Notamacropus eugenii: one gene and its partner. The protein of the gene in region 1 purifies or fractionates together with the protein of each later gene. This does not show direct contact. Links are inferred from orthologs where the notes say so. Each region holds a gene or a part of one and is shown in the gene's direction. Other genes may lie near its edges.

What was found.
Region 2: the proteins of S100B (region 1) and IQGAP1 purify together in Homo sapiens (co-immunoprecipitation; 3 studies listed by BioGRID and IntAct, with this or other methods). This does not show direct contact. The link is inferred for Notamacropus eugenii from reciprocal best matches to the Homo sapiens genes S100B and IQGAP1.

The regions. Positions count from the first base shown.
Region 1 is NC_092873.1:68,179,930-68,187,851, reverse strand, and holds the start of S100B (protein S100-B), read left to right. Parts: upstream 1-4,864; 5' UTR 4,865-4,956; coding exon 4,957-4,959; intron 4,960-5,694; exon of another isoform or gene 5,695-5,781; intron 5,782-7,615; coding exon 7,616-7,771; intron 7,772-7,922. UniProt on the Homo sapiens protein: Small zinc- and- and calcium-binding protein that is highly expressed in astrocytes and constitutes one of the most abundant soluble proteins in brain.
Region 2 is NC_092872.1:249,260,270-249,268,267, forward strand, and holds the start of IQGAP1 (ras GTPase-activating-like protein IQGAP1), read left to right. Parts: upstream 1-4,832; 5' UTR 4,833-5,071; coding exon 5,072-5,126; intron 5,127-6,736; coding exon 6,737-6,836; intron 6,837-7,998. UniProt on the Homo sapiens protein: Plays a crucial role in regulating the dynamics and assembly of the actin cytoskeleton.

The DNA.
Region 1 (7,922 bases):
GGGGGGAGAGCTGTAGTCCATCCTTGCTTCTACTCTACCATCTTGGCTCCACCTCCACATTTTAAAATTTTCAAAGATCTCATTTGATCCCCTTACCAACCTAGGAGATAGGTGCTACTCTTCCCCCATTTTACAGATGAGATGCTGAGATGAGTGAGGTTAAGTGATTCACCCACCATCACACAGCCAGGAAGGGTCAGAGTCAGGGTTAGGGCTCAGGTTTTCTCAACTTCAGAACCAGCTCTCAGGCTAGCTAAGGTGTAGTGGACAGAGCAGTGGACTGTTGGAGGCAGAAAGCCCTCAGTTCAATTCTGTCCCAAGTCAACTTCTTTCAGCCTTAGTTTCTTCATCTGTGAAATGAAGCTAATGACAGCCCCTACCTCCTAAGGTTGTTGTGGGAATTCAGTGAGACAGCATCTTGATAGCGCTTCATAAACCCTAAAGGTCTGTAGAAAAGCTTGTTCTTATTGAAGCTGTGATAGGGACGATCAGGCCACTTAGCTGTCTCTGCACTATTACAATATTTTTGACCTTGCAAACAGCCTCAAGCATCCCTCCAGCACTGAACATGACCATGGTTATTGACAGATTAGCTCCTGGCCTCACAACCTTATGGATGGCATGACTGACAATGGGCATTTTCAGCCATTTGGGATTTCTTAAGTGAATGGCTGAGCTCAACTCTTTTAAATGACTGTCTTTTTATTGAGGATGGGGGTGTGGGACAGAAGCAAAAGATTTTTACTGCCCTTAAAGGTAGGTTGTCCTGGATATCCTGGGGAGACATGAGCTCAATGTTCTTGGTACAATGCCCTCATATGGCAAAAGGCAGACTTTCTCTGCAAAAGAAAAGAGGAAAGGGCAGTAGTTGGTAGAAGAGGTTAGACTGGGCTGCTTAAGATGTGCCCAGAGAATAAACTTGGGATCACAGAAGATTTCTTGTCCCTGCTCTTTTGGGGATTGGGTGTGACCTCTCATTAGACTAGTAAACTCACAGCTTAAGAGGGAAGGAGTGCCACTGGGGCCCATGCCTGGGGTCTGATCTCTTCACTTTTGAGATCTGAGTGGCAGCTTTCATGAGTAGCATCCTGGTGAAAGTCAGGTGACACAATCAGCATGCATTTATTAAGTACTGTGTGACAGGGGCTATGCTAGGACCCAGGGATGCAAACACACTAAACAATTCTTACAAGTTGTGTAAACCCAGAGCATTAGAATGTTTACATATATGCAGAATAAGCATTAAGAGAACAGAAAAGCAGACAAACTTCATGCTACTCAGTACCAGCTGATCAGGGTAGTTGGGAGTACCAGGAAAGTGGAGCTTGAGGGCATACCATGGGATGTTAAGGGTTCTAGCAAGTGGAGTCGAGAGGGGGATGACCAGATGGAATGATGACCAGAAAGATATCATGACTGGAGCACTGAGCATGGGAAGTGGAGTAGTGTGGAATGATGCTGGAGAGGCAGGTGCCAGATTCCACTCCATTCAAGCTACTGAAGGTACCCTTCCCACCTTCTGTGGTTCTTCCAGAGTCTTCTGGAGTGGGGAGGTCTTTGCCCAGTAAGGTTAGATGCAGCATGATGTCATCCTGGTGGGATCTCTGGCTCCCAGTCCTGCCCTTTCTGAGGTCTTATTCTATGGAGAGTTTTCTCCTCATTAGAACCTGTCACTTGGAAAGCCATCCTTACCGGCGGCACTCATTTGATGAGTGTTTTCTCCTAAGATACATTGAATTGTAAAGTCATTATGGAAACCAAACCCAAATTTCTGGGATGTCCCATCTCTGGGAATATTTCTGGTCAGCAGCAATCACACTGGTCTCTTCAGGCCAGGACCAGTCAAAAGGCTTTGGAGCTAAAGGAAGATGTGAGTCAGAGATAGGCGTGTGGCCACAACTTAATGGCTTGCAATGCAACAAAGCCTCTTTCTCCTCAGAGACAAGAGAATGGAAGCAGTGGTTTCTTGGCTGTTGTGTTTAACCTGGTCCCTTATAGCAGGCATTGGGCTCAGATGCTTCCTGCCCGAATCATGTGAAATTTCACCCTTCTAAACAATGGTTGACTTTTCTGCAGAGCTTTCTCCACCAACAGAATGTTTGGACCACTGACATATGGAGCCCCAGATGGCCTCACTGGCAAAGGGACCTCCAATTTGTATGATCTTAGAGTAGGAATCATGCCTCACATTTCTTTCACATCCCCCATAAAGTCTAGTTAGTACAGGATTGGACTCGTTACAGGTTCTTGGTGCTCACAAATGAGAGAGATGAATCAATCCTGAGAATCTAAAGCTAGCCAAAACTTAACTAGGGTGAGATGATCATCTCAGAGGGCCAACATTTTAAATGGGTTGCAAAAAATGCAAGAGAATAATTTCAAAAGTTTCAGCAATTTTTATATTGGTTACCTCTATGTTGTAACAATACCCAAATTCCTTAAACAGTATGAAATGCAAGAAGAATTAAACTGAGACGCTTTTAGATTGCTGCATGCCTTATGAGCACCTCTTTGGCCATGCCCTACCTTGGTTCAACTCTCCACCTCTCCTCTGCCCCAGCAGTGGCCCCACAAGGTTTGTGTCCAAAATCTCTTCCCCAAGGGGCAATGGACTGATGTCTCCCTTCTCATTTAAATGAATCTGCCTCAATTACCTCTAAAATTAATAACTAACATTAATATAGCACTTTTAGGATTTGCAAAACACCCTGGAAATATCTCAATCCTTATAACAACATGGGAGGGAGGTGCTATTATGATTTCCATTTTACTAGTATATGTATCTGAGGCTGTTTTTGAGCTCAGGTCTAACTTGAGTCCAGCTACCACCTAACTGAATTATGAAGTGGAGTTGGAGGTGCTGCTTTCCCTGGTCACTCAAATTTCTAATTATGACTCTGGAGTTAGGCAGTGATAAGCAGGGGACCACAATGTGGGCTGAAGGCAACCAGTGCCAAACTCTCTTACTAACAGATTCATGGTTTGGTAGTCAGATTAGAAATGGAAGCAGCAGGCTCCAGCCATGACAATTGGTGACAACGTAGAGTATGGATGCCCATCATCTTCTAGCACTCATCTCCTGGCTCTGCACAAGCTAAGAATCAGAGAAGGGTTCTGGGGCCTTGTTGGAGCTGCCTTCATGAGTGTGGGCACAGCAGGCTGGGGATGCTTCCCGACAGTCTTTATCAATTACCTACCTTCTGGCTGACAAACCTCAGCTAAACTAAACTCTTCTCTTTTGAGGGCATGCTCTTCCCTGAAGCCAAACCTCCTATTTATTGGTGGAATATTTAAAATAATTCTCTAACCTCAGGAAGTTGGCCAGGGAGACATCTGATTGGTTAAGATTTCCTAGAATCATGGACTTAGAGCCAGAAGGGACCTGGAAGTCACTTTCTCATTTTCCAGAGGAAGAAACTGAGACCCAGAGAAGTTGAAGACTGTGCCAAAGGTCACCCAGGTAATCATGGAAGAGCTGAGGTCCTCAGGTCCTCAGACTCCAAGCTCGATGCTCCTTGAATGGCCTCCCAGGGCTTTCCTGGTGCAAAACACTTCCTGGGCTTTCTTGGTTTGTGGAGGTCATTCCTGGTTTCTCATTAATTTGCTTTGTGGTCGGATGACTTTATCTGCATTCTATATAGTGTTTTATTCCTTATACTTCATAAATAATTTACTTTTTCATTTACCAAACATTGAGTGATAGCTACTACTGGCCTTAAACAGCAGTCAGGTCTGGACTCCGATGGACAACGGGTCCATGCTGAAGGCTGTTGCCCAGAGAGAAACATACATTGTGGAAAGCCCTTTGGGGGTGCCAGCAGGCAAGGGGCGTCAGGTAAGGGGAAGCAGGTAAGAGGGTAACTGAGCCTTTTTCATAGGAAACCAGATGAAACACTTCTGCTTGTTCAGAGTCACTGATTGAGCAGGGATTGGGACCTCCCTTTGTAGCTGTCTCACTTTCTTTCAATCTCTATCTTTCTGACTCTGTCTCTCCCTTCAATTCTGTCTGTCTGTGTCTGTCTGTCTTGCTTTTCTTACCTCCCTCCCCTTTCTTCTTTCCCTCTCTCCCTTCTTCCCTCCCTCCTTCCTTCCCTTTCTTTTTTCTCTGTCTTCCTCTCTTTTTTATATAACTTTTCTTTCTCTTTCTCCTTGTTTTCTCCCTTCTCTTCTCTCTTTCTACCCCAGGAGGCCTGTTTTGAAATTCTCATAAGAAATAAACAACGCTGCAAAAAGCTGACCTCCACATTTCTAGATAACAGGCCCTCTTTTCTTTCCTTCTCAGACCAGTGTATCAGTTAATGGCCCCCACAGCAGGCCCATGTGGTTTCCCTGCTTTGTCAATGCTCTCTTGTGTGCCAGGCCACTAGCTGCCCTCACTGAGGTCCAAGAAGCCGCTGGCTCCCTCCTACCCCGGCCTCCTCCCGCAGCGCTCATTGGTTCGTGCCTGTCTGCAGCCGGGCAGCACTACTGTCAATAGAGCTTCTCCACCCCTAGGAAAGGAATAAGAAGCCAGTGTCTGGTGCCTTTCTCAGGCACAACGAAACAAGCGAGAGAAACTCCTAAGCAGCAGCAGGGAGGTGAGTGAGGGAGGTTTTTGGAGAAGTAGGAGCTCTGCCGCGCCACTGCCCTGCCCTGCCGCTGCCCTGCCCCGCTGCTCCGCCGCCCCCCTGTCCCTTACCCCGCTGCCCCCTTGTCGCCTGCCCTGCTGCTCCGCTGCCCCCCGTCCCTTGCCCCGCTGCCCCCTTGTCGCCTGCTCCGCTGCCCCCCTGTCCCCTGCCCCGGTGTCCTGCTGCTCCGCTGTCCCTCTGCCCCCTCCACCCCTCCCCCCGCCCCGCTGCCTCGATGCCCTGCTGGGGACTCGCGGGTTTTGAGACCGTTTCAGTTTGAGACAACCGATCTCGTTCAGTTCTGCTCCTTTTCTGGCTGAGGGGGCAGGTGCACTTAGCTCTCTGAGACATGGTGAGTGCCCAGAGTCAGGGGCCTCTGAGCAAGCCGGGGTGGGGAGTTCGCCCAGGTTTCCCAGAGGTGTCCTTGACTGTCCTTTGTATCCCGGCACAGGGACAAAGCCCCTGCCTTTCCTTTGAACGGCTCCGTGACCTTTTCTCCCAATTTTCACTCCTATGGCTGAAGGGAATTTAGCACTCCTGAGATCTGAGAGCCAGAAGAGAGTTTCGAAATAACCGGGACTCACAGAGAAGTTCTTGGTTCCCGGATCTGGGATGTGAGGGACCGTAGGGGTCATCCAGTCCGGCGCCCCTCCCCCCCACGGCCCCAACGTCATCCTTTGGACTGTCTTGGCTCATGATCAAGGGACAGTATCTAATTCCCTTTTCTCTGGTCCCTGGCCTCGTCCATAAAGCCAGTGGGGAATCACTGCTTGCTGCCTCAGTTGTCCTGCATTTAGGATGACACTAATTATCAATCAAAGCGGTTACTGAGTCCTGCTAGGCGCCAGGCGCACATCGTCCCTGGACACCGCCCAGAAGCCTTTGCACTTATTGAGCGGCACTGCTGGGTTTGGAGAACAGACCCTGATGGGTGGGGCTCTCCCCCATGGCCTTGTCATCCCTTTGGAAAATCCAGTTTCTTTCCCAGAGGGGGCTCTGCTATTGCCTTCCCTTCTCATTCATTTGAGAGGTCAAAGTAGGCTCTGTCTTCAAGAGAGGTAAGAAAAGATTGTATCCAACATTTCCAGGAAGAAAGGAGAGACCAAAAAAAAAATGAAGATTTTTAAAAAGTTCTGATTTTCATGCTTGGTGAAGAGATGACTGACTTCAGTCGGTATGAAATATGTGATATAGAGAAGTGTGGAAAAGTTGGGCAGGGGAGGGCAGGGTTGGGTAGGAGTGGGCTGAAGCAGGGCATGGAGGTGGGATGTCCAGGGGCTGCCTGGAGGGGGATGTCCAGGGCCCAGCCTCCCTGGCCTGGAGTGGGGAGGTCCCTGGCTTTGAAGTCCTCGAATCAGCCCTGTCATTCCGTTCCCACAGACAGAGGCTGTTCAGGAGGGAGTGCCCACAATCCACTGACCAGCAATCACGATTTTTCCCCAAATTCCCCAGGGCAACAAGCTGCAAACAGTTATCTAACAGTGAACAGTTTTTGCAGCCACTTAAATGAATCTTGAAGGGATAATCTGATATAGCAGAGGTGGGGGACTGTGGGTGTGGAATATTTCTCTCAGCCCCGGTCAGGCTCAGTCGACCGCTCATTTTGCTGCAGTTTCCTTTCTTCTTTTGTTGTTTGTCACAATGGGGGCAGGGGAGGCTATCCACTCCAACATGGCTGGAGGGATCTAGTTAAACCTTGGTGGGAGTGAGCTCCTGGAGGCATGTGACCCAGAGGCCTCAGGAGCAGGACAGAGCAATGTCCAGGGGTGCCTAAATGGAGCTCGAGGGCTCCTTGCTCCTTCTGAGGAGTAAATGACCCAATGAGGGACCCACTTGAGCAGGCACTCTCTGCTTCTCACGGTTGATTTAATTCTTAGGGTCCTGGATGTGGGGCCACCAATTCCAACTCCTTCATTTTACAGATGAAGAAACCAAGGCCCAGGAGAGAAAATGACTAAATGGGGTTTGAGCTGGTCTTTGAACTCCAAGTGGAGGCAGCACCTTCCCCTTTGCTGTGTGTGTGGGCCAGCCTCTGGCTTGTCTCAGGGAATGGAAAGCTGACACTGTTTTACTTTCCACTTTTAAGTCAGGTGCTGCCTCCTCCAGGAAGCCCTCCCTGATTCCACCCCCATCCCCTAGGTGAAAGGTGTCCTTCTGCTCTTCATAGAGCTCTCCACCCAGCACTCTGCCACCACTCTTTTCCCTCCCCACTAAAAAAGATTCCTGGTGTAGTCAGAGAAAGAGGGAGGAAATGTGATCTGTGCCCTTTCATGAGGCACCGGGAGGTCAAAGCAGCCTGGCTGGGCACCTCACTGTCAGGGGGTCAGGCAGGACCTGGGTTTGGGGCTTTCAGAAGATCAGGCAGGGCCCAGTCAGGTGGCAGCAGTGGCTTGTCTGGGCCTCTTCGCTAGGCTCTCTCTGGAGAGAGCCTAGAATGGTGCCAGGGCATTGTTTCCAAGGGGACACTTTGAGTAATTTTCCATTCCACAAAAATTCTAAACCTGAAAAGAATAATTTAATTGTTGTTGTAAAGGAAACACAATATTAACCAGGAGAAACAGCTACACAACACCCAGGGAGGAACTTGGATTTCCTGACCTTCCTTTTGGCCTGGGCCATTTTTCCCTTTTTCCTTAAGGTTTGGTTATTCTCTGGATGCTGGTGGAGTTAGAGGACCTGAGTTTGAGTCCCATTTCTCCTATTTGTAACCTTCTTGGGGGGGGGGGCAGTTAAGGGAAAGATTTGGGGCCAAAGGAGCTGAGTTCTAGGCCTCTGTGATCTCTTGCTGGTTTATCCTGGATGACCTCTAGGTCAGTACTTCTCTGACCCCATGAGATGGACTGAAGAGGTCACCCATGGAGGAGGGTTATCCCATAATCATTATCATGGTCATGATCACTCCCAGCAATCAGAAGTGTGAGGGGAACAGGTCAGAAAGGATGTCTGCCCATCCATTGTTGTCAGGATGTTTAGAGACAGTCTGTCTTCTTGTTCCACTGCGTGTGCAGGAGGATCTGATAGCCATCATGTCGGACCTGGAGAAGGCCATGATGACCATCATCGAAACATTCAACCAGTATTCTGCGAAAGAGGGTGACAAGCACAAGCTGAAGAAGTCAGAGCTGAAAGAACTCATGAACAGTGAACTCTCCCACTTCCTAGGGGTGAGTGTCACCTCCCTGGGTCTATCTCACTTCTGAGCCTCCCAAACCCACTGGGATAGATTGCACAGGCATCCGGGGAACATGGCAGACTATTGAGGATGTGGGTGGCAATGGTGAGCGAGCATTCCTGGAGCTGTTCAGGAATGTCTGA
Region 2 (7,998 bases), on another chromosome or scaffold:
TATCACTCTGCTCAATCTTCATTGTGATCATCTACCAGCTTATCACCCTTTGCTCAAGTACCTAGTCTTCTTTTATCCTAACTCGTCCTTATCCTTTGTAACTTTGACATACATGTCTCTTCATCAACCTCTTCATCTTCAGTGACCTCTATCTCCACTCTGTCTAATCCACTCACACTTTTTACCTCACTAGAATAGCTAACATTTACATAGGATTTAAGGTTTGCAAGCTACTTTACATATGTTATCTCACCAGTACTCCACACTTGGTGATTGCAGTCTCCTGTCCTTCCATTTCTACCTTTGCCTCACTCCTGAAGCTCTTTGTCTTTACCGATGACTTCCAGTCCTTCCATCCTTTCCTGTTCTTCTACTTCATCAACCCCTACCTGTGGTCGGTCTCACTTTCCTCTCTTCTCAGTCTTGACCCTAGGCTCTAGCTAAACTAACATATTTGCTCTACTCTGAACTCAAGGTTTTCTCTTCCACCTTTGCACAGCCTTTCCCCTCTGTAATGCACTCTGTCTTTACTTCCGTCTCTTAGAATCCTAAGATTTCTTAGCACATAAAGTTCTTGAAGATAGAGACTTTCATATTTGACTTTGTATCCTCAGTAGTCTTTCCTTGTATCCTCATAGTGTCTTTCTCATTGTAGATGCTTACAAGATTTTGTCCAATGGAAATAGCTTGACCCTGTTCAGTGTTTTCTTTGATCTCTGATCAGACCCTGGCACAAACCTTTTTTGCTCAGGAAGGTTCTTTTCTAGGGTCCCAGTGATTGCTCTACCTCACCAGTACACATGATCTCCTTCCCCTTATGGATTCTATTGTGCTTTACTGTCAGGAAACAAATTGTTTCCACCATAGCTGGCAGAACTCTGTGTGCACCACTGTAAATCTTCAAGTTTCTGTAGAACTAACAATGCTCTGGGGAGCACTTGTAGACTTGAAGGAAGTCTGTAAGTAGCTCCGGAAGCTGGGTGGAGTTGGCAGCTCTATGTTCTCGTGGTGCTACAAGTTCCTCAGATCCTTTTGCCAGATGATCAGAAGATTTTTCCATGGATTCTCACTTTAAAAAAAAAAAATTTTAGACTAAAAATCTAGACTTGAGATTTCATTAACTCCAGATGTAGGAATTCTCTCCATTAACACGTCAGAAACTTCTCTGTAACTCATAGTCTGGGTGACCTGCTCCAGGGCCTGAGAGGTAGAGGCATTTGGCCCAAGAAACCACTAAACCAAGGACTAAACCTAGTCCAAATGAATGCTCGGAAGGACCTATTTGTACAAAAATATAGCAGCTCTTTTTGTGGTAGCAAAGAATCGGAAATTGAGGGGATGTCCATCAGTTGTAGAACTGATAAACAAGTTGTGGCATATGATTATAATGGAATACTATTATGCTATAAGAAATGATAAGCAGGATGATTTCAGAAAAGACTAGAAAGACTAACACAAACTGATGCAAAGTGAGCAGAACCAGGAGAACACTGTATACAGTAACAGCAATATTGTATGATGATCAGCTGTAAATGACTTAGCTATTCTCAGCAATACAATGATCCCAGACAATTTCAAAGAACTCATGATAAAGAATGCTATCTGCCTCCAGAGAAAGAACTGATGGAATCTGAATGCAGATTGAAGCATAGTATTTTTCACTTTCTTCATTTTTTCATATATTTTTTTCTTTTTGTACGTTTTCTTTTGCAACATGACTAATATGGAAATATGTTTTACATGACTACATATGTATAACATATCAAATTGTTTACTGTTTCAAGGAGGGGGGAGGTGAGGGAAGGAGGGAGAAAATTTGGAACTCAAAATGAAAAAAAAGAATGCTAAAAATTGTCTTTATATATAGTTGAAAAAAATTATTAAACCTCTTTGCCTCAGAAGAAAAAGAAATCCTCAGATAGGGCCACAAAGAATCAAACATGACTGAACAACAACAAATTCAATTTTCCAAATTTTAAATTCAGTTCCCCCTTGCACTCATTATGTGTGCAATAGTCATTTCAGGTGGTGACTACCTGGGCAAGTTAGAGGCTGCCAAAGACAATCTGTGAAATATTTTATGAGCACACAAACCTGTATATAAATGGGATGTTAGCTGTCATCTTATCCCTGTGGAATACTCAGAGGAAATATGTCTGGTTATATGCCTGTTACGTCTGTGCCACGGCTCTCACAAATATGTATTACCTGGCTTTAGTTTTTAAAAATATTCTGAATACCAAGTGAAATGAGCATTTCCATACACATATACACAATGGAACAGAATAAGAACATGGTACATGGAGCTGATGATCATTATATTGTGTGGCTTGCCCTTCTTTGAAAATATATAATATATTTAACCTTTAGCTTTTCCAGCTTTTCTGTGGTTCTTTCTGGTCTTCATTCAGTTTTTCTTTTCTGCATTTTTTTAAAAGTTGCCTCCATGACCCTCTTTTCTTTTCCCTACACTGTCTCTATGAATCTTTCCCTTTCCACCCCCAGTCTTCCAAATGGAGAAAAAGTTTTTTATAATAGCCCTTGTTATAAATATTCATAATCAAGCAGAACAAATTCTGTCTTACTTTACAAATGCATGTAGATGATATTGTGATTAAAAATATAAATTTATTCAAAAGTGTTACCAGATACATAATCACTTTTGTCAAGCATTTTCTCTATCAATTCATGCTAATAGTTCTACAACTATAAGAGGGGGAGGGGTCGCAATTCAGTTTATTTTTTTATGTTAAAAAGGACCTAAACTAAACATTTATCAGCACACTCACCCTGGGGTGTTCTAGGAAATGTTTTATCACCTGGCTCCTCAAAGTAAAAAAGATATTCAGGGAACACTTTTAAATTTAATTGACATGAAGATTTCTTTCATTATTTTCTTCAGTCTAGACAATTCACAAAACAGGCCTTGATTTGCAGCTGTTGCTGGTTTTTGCTATGTAAATATTCGCAAGAAACATTTCTGGGTCCAGAATGTCCCAGGACAATAAGTACCACCCATCTGTAAGAATTGTCAGGTTCTTTCCTGCTCTGAATACTAAAATGCAAGGTTTTAAACCTGTGTGTGTGTGTGTGTGTGTGTGTGTGTGTGTGTGTGTGTGTGTGTGTGAAAGACCTCTTTACAGTCTAGTAAAACTTATATGGACCTGTTCTCAGAATAATAATTTTAGATAATTGAAGGAAATATTACATTTTAGTGATGAGTGAAAATAAAGATGTAATTTTTCTTCCATACAAGTTTATAGATTCCCTGAAATCTATCCAATGGGGACCAGATTAAGAGTTTTTGCTATCCTATGACCAATAATTAATTTTATACATTATGACACTAAAAATTAATTATTATAAAATATCATATGTTAATGTTAAATATGTATGATAATATATAATTTTAGTTCAGCTATTTTTTTTGGTGGTCATGACTCCATTTGGGGTTTCTTGGCAAAGATACTGGTTTGTCACTTCCTTCTCCAGCTCATTTTACAGATAAGGAAACTGAGGCAAATGGATTTAAGTAACTTGCCCAGGGTCACACCAAGTGTCTGGGGCCAGATTTGAATTCAGGAAGACGAGTCTTCTGATTCCAGGCGCAGCACTCCATACACTGGGCCACCTAACTGATCATATATAATATTATAGTATAGGTCCTATGATCCCGATTCCTTTAGAGAGAGTAATGAGTTTCATCACTGAATAATAATAATAATAATAGCTAGTTTTTATATGGTTCTGAAGCCCTCTACAATATATATGTAATATATATTGTAATATACAATATACATCGTGTATATAATATATATTATGTATAATATACAATACCATATACAATACATAACATTATAAAGCAAAGTGCTTTATGTCTATGGGGTATCCCGAAAGTTTCAGTGCAGTTTTAAACGTCAAAACTTCTGGGACACTTTGTATCATTCCATTTGATGACTGACCTAGAACTAGAAGGAAACTTACAAAGTTATCCAGAACCATCTTATTTTAAGAGGAGGAAACCCGGCGGAGTGGGGCGGTGAATAGTGCTGGATCCCTGACATGAAGTCAGGAGGGAGACCTAAGTTCAGATCCTGCCTCTGACCCCCCTTAGCCCGGTGACCTTCTCTGTAAAAATGGGGATGATAACAACAGCGTTGTGAGGCTCTAATAAGCGAAGGCTTGGAAAGCTCCACTGCACCGCGTGGAGGAGGAGGCTGAGGAGGGGGAGGGGGAATAGGTGAGGCGGATGACGTCATGGGGCGCTGCGGAGGCAGGTGTGGCTCTCCCCCCTCCCTCTCCGCACAGCTGGAATGCGGCTTAGAGCTCAGGCCTGGGGAGCTCGGGGCCTACCCGAAGCCCCGACCCAGGGGAGCCCCGGGGAGGGCTGGGGGTGGGGCCGGTAAGTGTTTAACCACTGTCTCTCCCCGGAAAAAGTAGGGAGGGTGCGCTTTGAAGTTTCTTCTGCATTACGTAAAGCTCCAAGGTGGTAATTAATTTGGTAATATTTGTGGAGCGCTTCATAAACGCCGGTACCCCTCTCCACCATTAGTAACATTTCCTCCATCATCAGCCTCGAGCCCCGCTCGGTGGATTTGCCGCGCCCGCCAATTTCCGAGGGGTAAACGCTCGCACTTTAAATTTAACCACGGGCTCCCCAGAGCCCCCACCCCCAACCCCAGGGGGCGCAGGCGCGGGTTGCGGAAGGCCGGGTCGCCCCCGAGGCATCATAAAGTCAGGCGGAGAAAGCAAAGCCAGGAGAGTGGGCGGACAGAGCCGAGCAAGTTTGGGATGGCTCATCCGCCGTAAGCAGCGCCGCAGCCCATAGAGGGCGGGGGAAGGGAGGTGTGGGCGGGGCTTCTCGGGCCCCGCCTCCTCCGTCGGCCTCCACCTTCTCCCCCTCCCTCCCCCTACGGCTGCGGGTTCGGGGCGGGGCCGCGGGCGCGGGCGCGGGCACGGTCACACCCAGCGCGCCTCCGCCGCTGTCGCTGCCCCTGCCGCGCCCGGGAAGCGCTACGCCGCCTGCCTCTTCCCTCCGAGGCTTCGCCGCGCACGTCTCGCTCTTGCAGCCATGTCCGCCGCGGACGAAGTTGACGGACTGGCGGTGGTCCGGCCGCACTATGGCTGTGAGTCCGGGGTCGGGCGGGGCCGGGAGGGCGAGCCCGGGGAGGCCCAGCCGGCCCAAGGCGGAGGTGGCTCCGGTTCCCCTTGGGGCCGCGCCGCGCCGACCCGGAAGGGCAGGGCGCGCCCGTTGTCCGGGCTCTGGGGCCGCGGCCTCGGCCCCCTCCCCGATCACGCCGGGAGCTGGCCGTCCTGGCACTTCTGTCTGTCAGCTGGAGCCGGGCTGGCCGGGCTCGGGGAGGGGGTTGGCGGGGGTGGTGAGGGTGTGGATGGCCCCCAGCCCCTCGGACCCCCCGGAGGAAACACCCATCCTCCGGTGGAGGAAACTGAGGCTGAGGAGGCCCGCTCGGCAGCGCAGCCCCGTGTCCCGCGCTGGGCGGCTCCGAAGAGCGCTCCCTGCCAGTCCCGGACTGGGGGGCCCGTGAACTTACCTTTTTTAAACCATCTTGCTAAATGTTTCAGTGCATTTATTTCCTTTGTCATCTCACGTATTTTATACATTTAAAAGCAATTTGAAGAAGGGTGTCCACAGGCTCCCCACACCGACGTAGGAGTCCCTAACACCAAAAATACAAATAAACATGAGGGAGAATTGAGAATTTATGGGAGGCACGTTTTGTTGAGTGGAAAAGAGCTCTGGCCGCGTGGAGTTTAGAGACGGGGCATCTTGGTGTGGTGAAGGAATGGGGCACTCTTGGAATCAGGAGACCCAGGGCTCTAACCCACTTCTGCTAACTGTGGAACCCCAGTTGGGCAAGTCAGTTTTACTTAGGCCTCTGTTTCCCTTTTTTTCTAAAATGAGAGAATTGGAGCAGACGATCTCTAGATCACAGGAGCTGTCTCTATTCTGTGTTCTAGGTCTTTAGGAAAGATAAAATGTTATTGATTTATGTCCCCTCTCTCCTTCTGAGGGCCATCACTTCAATCAAAAAATAACAAAGCCAGGGGAAAAAAATCAGTTCAGCAAAACCAGCCAATATATGAAGAGTTTTATGTTATATGCAGTGTTCTGCACCATAGTTTCCCTCCCCTCCTTTCTGCAAAGTGGGGAGATTGCCTTCTCAAAGCTCTCATAGATCCAAGCTTTGTTCTGAAGTGTCCTGAGCCTTTCAGGGCTATAGTTTTCTTTTTACCAGGATCTTGAAAGTAATGAAGGGGAAGGGAAGGAACTTGCTTCCTTATTCAATCTGTCAAGTAATTCTGCTTTCTTAGGGTTTTGGACATTGTTACATCTGTTCTACCAGGGAAAAGGGAGACCCAGCCCAGTTCCCTTTTTTTTCCTCCTGAAAGAGGCCCTGCCCTTTGATGATGTAGGGGTTTTAGTTTCAAGTTATGCACTGGAAATAAGGTTCTTATAGATTAGCTTGTTTCATTAACAACAGTAAGATGCAAAGTCAGATATATGCTTATGTTACTACGTTTTGATAAAAATAATATAGGTGGGGCCCAAAGTCCTTGCAAGAATAAGGTCATTATATTATACCTGGCAACACTTGTTGCCAAGGGGAGTGGGAAGTTACCAAACTGAGTCAGGATCAACTGATCTGGCTTTCTTACATCTCTATAGATGTAAGCTACAGATTTCCATATTTATATAATTTCTCTTATTTTGTAGCTGTCTTGGATAATGAAAGGCTCACTGCAGAGGAGATGGATGAGAGGAGACATCAGAATGTGGCTTATGAGTACCTTTGTCACCTAGAGGAAGCAAAGAGGTAAGGAAAAGGTGGTTGGCAATAAATGGAGACAAGGATCTTGGTTTGTGTGAATTTCTCTTTGGTACTTGTGTCCGTGGGAGCTTAGGTTTGTAGTGAGGGCAAATGAGCTTAGGGCTAATTTGAAGGAACTTGGAAAATCATTTAGTTCAGGCTCCCACCCCTTACAGGACATCTAGATAACTAGTTAAGGGCAGAATTAGGGCTATATTCCAAGTCTCCTCCCTCTGAGATCTGTGCTTTTCAATGCTTAACCATACTTTATTCCCTTCAGAACATTTTCTTTTCTATCCGGTCTTGAACTTTTAGCATAAGAGGTAGCCCTTTTTCTTCTTTTTTCTGTCTTTTTTTTTAGTTTTTAGTGTAAACTTTTATAAGATTTTGAATTCTAAATTTTTTCTATCTCCATTCCCCTTTCCCCAAGACAGCAAGCAATCTGATATAGGTTATTCCTGTGCAATCATATTAAACATATTTCCACATTAGTCATGTTCTAAAAGAAGAATCAGAACAAAAGGGGAAAACCACAAGAAAGAAAAAGACATTAAAATAATATGCTTCAATCTGCATTCAGACTCCATAGTTCTTTCTCTGGATGTGGATGGCATTTTCTATCATGAGTCTTTTGGAATTGTGTTGTATCATTGTATTGCTGAGAAAAACTAAGTTATTCACAGTTAGTTGATCTTCACACAATATTGCTGTTACTATGTACAACATTCTCCTGGTTCTGCTCGCTTCACTCAGCATTAGTTTATATAAATCTTTCCAGGTTTTTCTGAAATCAGCCTGCTTATCATTATTTATAGTACAATAATATTCCTTTACATTCATATATCACAACTAATTGAGACATTCACAAATTGATGGGCATCTCCTCAATTTCCAATTCTTTGCTGAGGTGGACCTTTTTCTATGAAGTCGCTCTTATGTGTGGTCCTTCAGAGGTTTACTCCTTTCAAATTGAGCTATTTTACAAAGCTGTTATAAAAATGTTTCCTAATGCTTACCTATAAGCAGTCACCTCATTCTGGAAGCTATCACTGCTTATGAACAAATTCTCTTTTGTGCATAAATCCATCCATTCACTAAGGCTGTATTATTTGCAGGGCACAGGGGATGCCAAAACAGATTATGACTTAACCCCTCTTTCAGACTTAAA